Linked DNA regions of Arabidopsis thaliana. The protein of the gene in region 2 purifies or fractionates together with the protein of the main gene of each other region. This does not show direct contact. Each region holds a gene or a part of one and is shown on either strand. Other genes may lie near its edges.

The links.
Region 1: the proteins of EMB2820 (region 2) and MTO3 purify together in Arabidopsis thaliana (affinity purification with mass spectrometry, with the first as the bait; one study listed by BioGRID). This does not show direct contact.

What each region holds. Positions count from the first base shown.
Region 1 is NC_003074.8:5,951,658-5,955,808, forward strand, and holds MTO3 (S-adenosylmethionine synthetase family protein), read right to left. Parts: upstream 2,435-4,151; 5' UTR 2,244-2,434; exon of another isoform or gene 2,036-2,243; 5' UTR 2,009-2,035; coding exon 827-2,008; 3' UTR 530-826; downstream 1-529. Other genes in the region: AT3G17380 (TRAF-like family protein), read left to right, coding at 62-228, 313-467; AT3G17400 (F-box family protein), read left to right, coding at 3,230-3,787. UniProt on the Arabidopsis thaliana protein: Catalyzes the formation of S-adenosylmethionine from methionine and ATP. The reaction comprises two steps that are both catalyzed by the same enzyme: formation of S-adenosylmethionine (AdoMet) and triphosphate, and subsequent hydrolysis of the triphosphate.
Region 2 is NC_003076.8:8,446,183-8,452,115, forward strand, and holds EMB2820 (Cytidine/deoxycytidylate deaminase family protein), read left to right. Parts: upstream 1-1,771; 5' UTR 1,772-2,163; exon of another isoform or gene 2,164-2,237; 5' UTR 2,238-2,373; intron 2,374-2,672; 5' UTR 2,673-2,697; coding exon 2,698-2,770; intron 2,771-2,871; coding exon 2,872-2,923; intron 2,924-3,007; coding exon 3,008-3,084; intron 3,085-3,153; coding exon 3,154-3,287; intron 3,288-3,425; coding exon 3,426-3,508; intron 3,509-3,719; coding exon 3,720-3,819; intron 3,820-4,003; coding exon 4,004-4,414; intron 4,415-4,502; coding exon 4,503-4,606; intron 4,607-4,683; coding exon 4,684-4,864; 3' UTR 4,865-4,899; exon of another isoform or gene 4,900-5,110; 3' UTR 5,111-5,387; downstream 5,388-5,933. UniProt on the Arabidopsis thaliana protein: Involved in RNA editing. Catalyzes the specific deamination of adenosine-34 in several cytosolic tRNA species. Generates inosine at the wobble position of the anticodon loop.

The DNA of each region.
Region 1 (4,151 bases), on a different chromosome or scaffold from region 2:
ATTTGCCAACAATCCCAAAGCAACCGTAGCTTTAAGCTAATAAATGGTACTACTAATGCAGGAAGATAGAGTTTTATCCTACGGGAACAAAGCAAGGAACAGGAACCCATCTTTCTATCTATCTGACCCTTGTTGATCCTGAAACCATTTCAGATGGTACAAAGATATTTGTAGAGTTTACAATTCGAATATTTGATCAGTTACAAGGCAGACACATTGCCGGGAAGGGTAAACACCGCAAACTCAATCACATACTTGTTATATGAATGTGAATGTGTTCACCTCTTGATCTGTAAGTTCTCTGGTTTACAGTTACTAAATGGTTTAGTCGATCAAGCTCGGAGCATGGATGGGTGAAATATGTATCCATGGTTTATTTCACGCAGCCAAACAGTGGTCTGTTGCTCAAAGATGTATGTCTTGTTGAAGCTGATGTATGCGTTCATGGAATCACCAGTGCAATCTAATCTCATCATGTTTTAACTCTTACAATAAAGTCTCACTTGCCTCTCTGTTTAAGGACTCGTCAAAGCCAAAATATTTGATATTGATAATGCAAACAAAGGAGACTAATGTCGAATATTATTCTCTTATATGATTTTCTTCTCAAAATAAGTAAGAAATACATATTATGAATTTAACTTTCTTAGCACAAGAATACCATATAAATAATTATATAAATTCCCAGCTGCTTAGCTTTTTTCTTCAAAGTTGAAAACAAAATGAATAAACCCATCTCAGAGTTGAAACTAAAGAGGCAGAAAGAGCCTAAAATACAGAGAACAAGACTGATTCTGGACAGAAGTGAAACAGAGGCTGACAGGTTTCAAGCTTGGACCTTGTTAGACTTGAGTGGCTTGACTACCTCCCAGGTGAAATCAGCATCGTCCCTTCCAAAGTGACCATAGGCAGCAGTCTTCAAGAACCTACCATTACCTCCTCTCTTCAGATCCAAGTTAATGGAGATCATACCTGGCCTGAAATCAAAACTCTCCTTCACAATCTCAAGAATCTCCTTGTCTGGTATCTTTCCTGTTCCATAACTGTCCACGAACACAGACAATGGCTCAGGGACACCAATGGCATACGAGACTTGCACAATGACCCGCCTCGCTAGCCCACTGGCTACAATGCTCTTAGCTGCTTGCCTAACGATGTAAGCCCCACTCCTGTCAACCTTGGTTGGGTCCTTTCCAGAGAAAGCACCACCTCCGTGTGCACCCCAACCACCATAAGTATCGATGATGATCTTACGGCCGGTAAGCCCTGCATCTCCATGAGGACCTCCGATAACAAAACGACCAGATGGGTTGAGATGGAAGATGGTTTTCTCATCAAGGTATTTCTCTGGGATCACTGGCTTGATCACATGCTCCTTAAGATCAGCTGCGATCTCATCGTTAGTCACAGTCTCGTCATGCTGTGTTGAGATGAGAACAGTGTGGACACGTACAGGAACCATGGCTCCGCTTTCGTTGATGTACTCAATAGTGACTTGAGTCTTACCATCTGGCCTCAACCAAGGGCAAGTTCCATTCTTGCGAACTTCAGTGAGTTTAGCTCCAAGCTTAGTAGCGAGAACGTGAGTAAGAGGCATGAGCTCAGGAGTCTCATCAGTAGCATACCCAAACATGTGACCTTGGTCACCAGCTCCAACCTCCTCTGGCTTCTTGGTGAGATGACCATGAACACCTTGTGCAATGTCAGGACTCTGTTGCTCAATGTTAACCAGAACCTTGCAATTGTCAGCATCTAGACCAACGTCAGCAGAGACGAATCCAATCTCACGGCATGTTTTACGAACAATCTGCTCGTAATCAACGTTAGCCTTGGTGGTGATTTCTCCAAAAACCATGACCATGTTAGTCTTGGTACAAGTCTCACAAGCAACTTTGCTCTCAGGGTCTTGTTCAAGGCAAGCATCGAGGATAGCGTCGGAGATCTGATCACAAAGCTTGTCGGGATGTCCCTCGTTGACGGATTCAGATGTGAACAAAAAAGATTCCATTTTTCCGATCTGATTCACGAAAGAAACCTAATACAGAGCAGAGAAATCAAACAAGATCAATGAGAAGTAGTATAAACACACATAACAAACTCGAATCAATTAAAAATTGGAATCTAGATTCAATAACCAGATCTATAAATCAACACTTCTCTCAAACAAAAATCGACACTTGGTTCAAATTCTACAGAAATGCAGGAATCTTGAGAAAGTATGAATCGAAGAAAAGTGAACATACCTTAAAAGGAGATTAGTAATGAAGGTTGAGCTAAAGAAATGTGGTGGTAGTAGTAGTACGAAGGTGAAGGAGGAGCGTATAAGCTTTATATATACGAGCTCGTCGAGGGGGTTGGTGTAAGATCGTAATTTCGTCCAGATTCATTCCCAGTTTCATCTAACTGTGTTCAGACAATGAGATCTAGATATCTGACGGTTCAGATTAGATCTAGAAATGTAAGAAGGTTTTAAACCGTTGGATTTGCTTCACTGGACCACCGCGTGCGAGTACAACTTGACAGCATCTAATGAAGAAGATTGCGAATCACGACGATTATAATAATAGTTATCGGTACTCAAATTAATGCTGCAAATTAGATATTTTTGAGCATGTAAAGTGAATTTAAAGAGTTAATGATAATTAATGTCGTAAATCATGAAGAAGTTGTGTGATTAGAGAAGGGTTTGTGTGATTGTGTCGGTGAACATAATTAGAGATTATACACACACAGGCTGTCTCTTTACTCTTTTATAGAAGGGTCCACTTGCCACCGGTAAAATGACAACATAGAATTCTTCTTTTGTTTGCTTTTTAGTAGTGTCGGCTAGCTTAGGTTGTCAAATATGACTGACTATTGTTGGGTGGTCTAAATCTGATCTTGTCTGATCCGAAAAAGGTAAAACTGCACAGTTACGCCAATATGCGAAGTTCATGTCCGGTCTGAAAAGGCTAGATTTAGTTATTGGGCTCAAAATGGGCCAAGGCCTTGCAAATAACGAAATACACCAAGCGATAAAATTTGAAGCCCATGACTATGAGGCAGTTGTTATTTGTTAAGTTAGAGAAGAAATTGGAACAAAATACACTAAAACCTTCTATAAATTAATAGGTCAAGGGACTGGCACCTCCTAGAGGATTCCGATCCGCTCTTATCCAAAGATCGGAGCTTTACAAAGAAGCACCGTGCTCAAGCCAAAGCAGCAACGAAGGAGAAATTACCTGCAAAAATGATGACATTGTCCGATCTTCCAAGTGATTTGGCAGAGGAGGTTCTGTCTAAGATTCCGGTGACATCTCTGAGAGGGGTCAGAGCTACTTGCAAAAAGTGGAACACTTTATCCAAAGATCGGAGCTTTACAAGGAAACACCTTGCTCAAGCCAAAGCAGCGGCAGCAAGGGAGTTTATGGTGGTCATGGTGATGGATTTTCAGGTTTATTTGATGGGCATCAATCTCCATAAGGACGTTGACGCAACTATAAACGGTCAAGGTAAACTTATTAGCTTAGACGATTCCAATCAAGTCGATATATCTTACGTCTATCACTGCGACAGTTTAGTCTTATGCATCCCAAAAGACTGCGCTAGGCTTGTTGTTTGGAATCCGTATTGGGGCCAAACCTTATGGTTCAAGCCCACTAGTCTTCGCCATTTTCCGCACTGGTATATGTATGCTATTGGATACCAGATGCGAAGAGGAAACCGAGACGCGAAAACTTCAAGGTGGTTGTTGACTTGTAGACCGACGACCAAAACTATCACAAAGAACACGATCGATCACCTTTGAAAGTCAAAAGATAGATACTCGCTTCACATCTATATTTTACAACTTTATTATATTCCACACAAATCATATACTATACATACATTAGTCTCCTTTTATTAAATACCAGCCGTCTATTTTGGTTTTTCTTATTACATGCTTAAAAATACCAAATGCACAAAGAAGGATACTTTTACCCACTACAAAATATGGACTTATCTGAAAATTTTTATCGAACACATTTTTCTTATTGAAATAGTTACCTATGTATTAGTACATATATTTTGTTACGGGAAATTCAAAAAATTTTATATACAACCAATCAAATGGCTAATTAATAAGTGGATTAAGACCTTTGACCTCAAAACACGACCAAGTAAAATAACTT
Region 2 (5,933 bases):
TTAAATATGGTTTTGCAGAAAAGGTTTCGGGCTTTTATAGGGCTGGCCCTATTATACTACGGTTCTGTTCGTTTCTCCATTTGACAGATCCATCCAATTGATCCATTCAACATGTCCATCTAGATGATTCATTCGACTCTTGTTCGTTTTATTTTTAGTCGGTTCATTTGACTGGACCATCCGAATGAGATGTTGTTCGTTTACTTATCTCTATCTCCATCCAAATGATTTGCAATAATACAAATACCTAAAATACCCATGCTTTCATCTAATTCTTAATCTAAAATATATTTAAAAGTAAATAAATTTCAAATAATAGTTTTTTATATTTATAAATTTATTTTACGGTTTTGGCGGGAAAACGTGATTTTATGATTTGACGGGAAAACTCGATTTTACAGTTTTGGCGGAAAACAAAATTTTACGTTTTTGGCGGGAAAACGTGATTTTACGGTTTTGGCGGGAAAACGTGATTTTACGGTTTTGGCGGGAAAACGTGATTTTTGCGGTTTTGGCGGAAAAACACGATTTTACGGTTTTGGTGGAAAAACGTAATTTTTTGGTTTTGGCAGGAAATCACGGTTTTACGGGTTTGCCGGGAAACCGTGATTTTGCGGTTTTGGCGGGAAAATAGAATTTTACGATTTTTGCGAGGAAAAAATGATTTTGCGGTTTTGGCGGGAAAACGTAATTGTACGGGTTTTGCTGAAAAACGAATTTTACGGTTTTAGCAAAAAAAATGATTTTGCGGTTTTAGCAGAAAATTTAATTTTTTATTTTTTAAAAAATAATTGTAAAATAAGATTTAAATCTATTTATTTATTTTATCTAAAAATACATCTAAATAATCAATTGAAATAATTAGGGTATTTTTGTCATTTGTTATTTTAGATTGAATCATCTCCATCCAAATGATCCAATTTAGTTCAGTCAAATGAGTTTCAAAATTTAGCCTAAATTTTCAAACTCATCCAGATGATTCATTTGGATGGATCATCTGAATGAACCGTTTTTGGCACCAAACGAACATCAAAACTCATCTCCATCGAAATGATCCATCTTACTGATGAAACGAACATGCCTACAAACTTTTTTTTTTCTTCTTTAACACTAAACGACGACGTCTCTTTTTTTTTTCTTTTTTTTTTTCTTTCTTCTTCTTCTTCAATCTTCTTTCTTCGATCTCTTATTTTTTAAACTCTCTTCTTTGATTGTGAGAAGCCATAAAAAAAGGTTCGATATCTCTCTCTTAATCTTTCATCTTTCTCATTTTTCTATTCTCATAGATTGATATATTCTCTATCTTTGGAATCTGATTCATAGGATTGGGGTTTAATGGTTTTCGAAGAAATCTGGGTTAAAGTGTGTTCGTGTGTTCTCTAAATTTGATTCACTAAACGTGGGTTTCGAAAAATTGAATTCTGTGTAGCTATGATCTTGTGGCATAAGGCAAACTGATTCCTGAAGTTGGAACATCGTTCTCTGGTTCAGTAGAGAACCGACGAACACCCTTCCCCATCTCCGACGATGTTGTTTTTCTGCTTAGGACACAAGTTTGTTTTGTTTTTTTTCTCTTAAACTTTCATACTTTCACACACTCATAAGTTTACACACATTACACATATATATAGGAGATTTCTTCTACTCACCATACCCACTCTCTTAGACCTTAAACTTAGTCACTATTTAACCTTACTTCTAGACATTAGACTTAGGGATACAAGCAACCTTACACAACCTTACCTTAGCCACTAACAACCCCAACTACTCTACCTCAAGTACTTAGCTAGAATAAGCTACTTCTACGAATGGGCCACAACAAAACATACTTCACCACTTTGGGCCTACACAACTTCATCAGCCCAATAAGATAAAACATAAAACCCACTTCTCTTGTCTTCTTCTTCTTCTTCTTCTTCTTCTTCTTCTCACGTCTCTCTCTTACGTCGTCTTCTTCTTCTAGTTTCCAATCTTCTTGTTCTTCATCATTGTTGTTTCCTTCTCACTGATGTTCTTCTTCTTCTTTGCAGGATCAATCGGAGAGTTCAATCTCAACAGACGACCATACCCTCGATACAGTAGCTGCTCCGCTCATCAACGTCCATTTCGCCGCCTTTAGCCGTCAACGTTCTCTGGTTCTGTTGCCGTACAAAATTCTTAAAGGTCGCGTTTTTATGTAAGCGTAGGGTTTAGTTGTCGTCCCGCTCTTTTTAATTAGACTTTGTTAATTTAATTAGGTTAATTAGATAAGACCTAAAACGGCGACGTGTAAGCTGTCGTCTTCTTGACCTTTTTGGTGAACTCCTCCTTCCTCTCTATCGGCTATCGCTCGCTGCGTCTCTGTGTCTTGTTGCTTGGAGCAAGCTCTCCAGCGTGAGTTAATCTAATCTCTGTAATGATTAATTACCTTCTTTTACGGTTTCTGGAATTGCATCTGTGTGTGAGCACTTGGTTTGAAATATGATTTAACTAGTGAATTCGATAATGCTGTTCAATAAGAATGCTTAGAAAAGCCTTAACTGGGTTTTACTCACCACTCTTCTTATTGAATCTAGAAATTGAAAGTGTGAATTTTTGCGAGTTCTCTTATTCAAACTTCACTGCGAAAGGTGGAGTTTTTCGTCTCTGTTTTCTCCCTAATTCTTATAGTTTGAGCTAATGGTGTTAATCAGGCTCAAGAATAGATAAAATAAAATTATGGATTCAGATGCATGGGAAATTATCCATATACCTGAAAAGCCTTCATTGTCACCTGACCATCAGCCCACTGGTATGATTCAATCTCTAAGTTTGGTTTTTTAGTCTATCAAAGGTTCTTTATCTAAACTTCTTCTTCTGTGTGTGTGTGTGTGTTGTTCTTGTTGTTCACAGTGAAGGTATATGCTAGCCTAATCAAACCCAGATTTGCCAATACGATAGTGAGGTTTGTCATTCTTGTTTCGACTCTTGACTCGTTGATTCCAGTGCTGTAATCTCATGAGTGAATTTTTTTACTTTGCTATGATAGGCATTTATGTAAGATTGCTCCTCTAGAAGATCTTCGTCATGTTAAAAGGGTGAAGAAGAAGATTCTGCCAGATTGCGGTATCCCATTGTTAGTTTTCTTAGCGCGCTGATACACCAATCATAAGATTATGAGGTTTTTATTGTAAGCTTATTGGACAGGTGAAACTCAGTTGACTGTCATCTTATGTCTAGCACCTGAGCACAACGATCAGTTGAGTGACATGCCACCTGATGTGCAGAGACTCGTTGATCCCTATGAGTTGAGTCCTTTTATTACACAAGTAGGTTATTTTTCTCTTATCTCACCACTATTTGCTTCAAGGGTTTTTGATTCATTTAGCTTCCAAGTCAGAGATTTCTTTCTGCTCATTCATTTATATTTTCAGTGCAATCTCATATTTCTGCTATAACTATGATAGGTATGCAAATATGCTGCGGTATCCAAAGAAGAGTGGGAAGAACAAAGTAAGATATGGCCTACTTCATTTCATCCACCAACCTAGTAAGCTCCATGTCTAGAATCAGTTTTGTGACCAAAAGAGTCTTTATTATCTTTCTGGTCTTTTTATTATATATGCTTTAGTCGTTCTAGAATAATCTTATTTCTTGATGGTTTCTATTGGTGCTCTTATCTGCATTGTAATAGCAATATATGTCTTTGTTTATAGTGCAACAGTCAATGATTTTTTACTTTTTGCATTTGGCAATGATAGCAATATAGATGGCATCGGTGGGTTCAGCGAGGAGGAAACACAATCAATCTGCAAGTTCATGAGAGTTGTTATTGATATGGCAGTATCTGGTCATACACCAGTAAGTATTTTCCATTGATCTACATAACGTCGATATCAAGTTTTAGACAACAGACCATTCATTTTTCATGTACCATTTGCTTTTTTTAGCGCCTCAATCCTTGTTCTCTTGGTAGAAAGATTTACCATCGTTTCATTACATAGAAAATGATCTCAATTTACCACATTTCTAATGTACTTTTCAGCTTGTGAATGCTGCAGTGATAGTTGATCCTTCAGTTAGGCGAATAATAGCTAGTGAAACTGATCAAGTATATGCATCATCTGCTCCTCGTGACATGACTAGCGCAGAGACCAGGCCCTTCGAGGAAACAGGGGAAATATGTTTAAATGACACACTTGAAAAACAGAATGGTTCATTGTCTGCTCTTTCTTGTCTGAATCCCTGGCAATGGAGTTTGCAGCCGCATGACACTGAAAATTGTAGCCAGTGGCATCCTCTTAGGCATGCTTCCATGGTTGCCATTGAATCCTCTTCTGCCAGAGATAGAAATCTGTTTCCCAATCCATCCAAGATTTTTGATCAGGATCATGTTCCGCCCTCAAATACAGATTCTCCGGCTAAAAAGCAGAAAACAAGCAGTCAGAGTCCAGACGTAAGTTCATTCCAACCAAGTTTTTTAATTTCCTCCACATGCTTTGACTAGTACAGCATTCTCTCTTACACTTCTGAGTTATCGATAGGTCCAAAATGACAGCAGAGAAGAGACTGTTAGAGATCCTTCAATGGAAAGGCCGTACCTCTGCACTGGTTATGACATTTTCCTCCTGTTGGAGCCTTGTACAATGTGAGTTTCTACATACATATTACCCTTTTAAACTCTGCAAGTGTGTGTATCTAATAAAGTCGTGATATGTTCCCAAGGTGTGCTATGGCGCTTGTGCATCAAAGAATAAAACGGATTTTCTATGCTTTTCCAAACACCACGGCAGGTGGTCTCGGGAGTGTTCATAGACTTCAAGGGGAAAAGAGTTTGAACCATCATTATGCAGTGTTTAGAGTTTTGCTGCCTGATGACGCACTTAGACAAATGACCACGGTCTAATGCATTGTTGTAGTCGATTGATAATCAGGTTCTGGGTGAGAAAGCTAATTCTTTGTTCTTGTTCATTCCAAGAATCTGGAATCTTATTGAATTATTATGTAGACCAAAAACTTTCGACTTCTATTACTGTGTATGGCTCAGTACTCTCTAGTCAGAAACTTGTGTTTTAGAGAAACAACAGAATGCAAGAAACGAACCGTCACTAACCAATCCTCACATGAAATAATGCATCTCTACTTACTGTAGTATCAGGTCATTGCATGGCCCAACTGAAATCATTCTTGCACTGCGCTCTCTTAATCTAACAACAGAGGATTGACGATTGCCGCCATTCGAAAATCGTCATTAGCTGAAAGACGAAAGAGGTTGTTATGAGGTAAATGGTGATAATCTCAAACTTGGTTTTCAAAGTTATAAGCTCATCTGATCGCGCAACACGTGTATATTTGTATGTATTAGATTTTGATAGGTGAAAAAAAAATTATGTAACAATAAAAAGTCTAGATTAAGACCTGTGTATGAGTGTTTTAAAATTATAAATTGTACTAAATTTAAGAAAAAGGGTTGTTTGTATATTTGTTTTTGCCTTAATACACTAATTTGCATTTTGATATTTTAAATTTGTTGTAAAATTTATTACAATAATCTAGTAAAGTTAAATTATCAATATGTTATTAGATCAATGTTAGAATCATTTTACAATATTCATATTGTAAGATTTGCATTTCAATATTTTAAATTATTGTAAGATTGTATATATATACACTTATTTATAGCCTATAGACATTTATTATTTCTTATTCATAATTGTAAACTAAATTATTAGTGTTAATTTTTATTTTGCCACAATTAATGTTAGATCTAAAGTTTAAAATCCAAGATTATATCATATTGTACATTTGTTTATTTACTTTTCATTATTCTAAAGTAGATTAATAGTGTTAAATCTCTCTTTTGCCACAATTAATGTTAAATATAAATTTAAGACTCCAAGATTAGATCATTAATTTCTTTATATATTGATATAAAAATCTAAACTAAGAATTATCATCGTACGAAAAGAATGGAG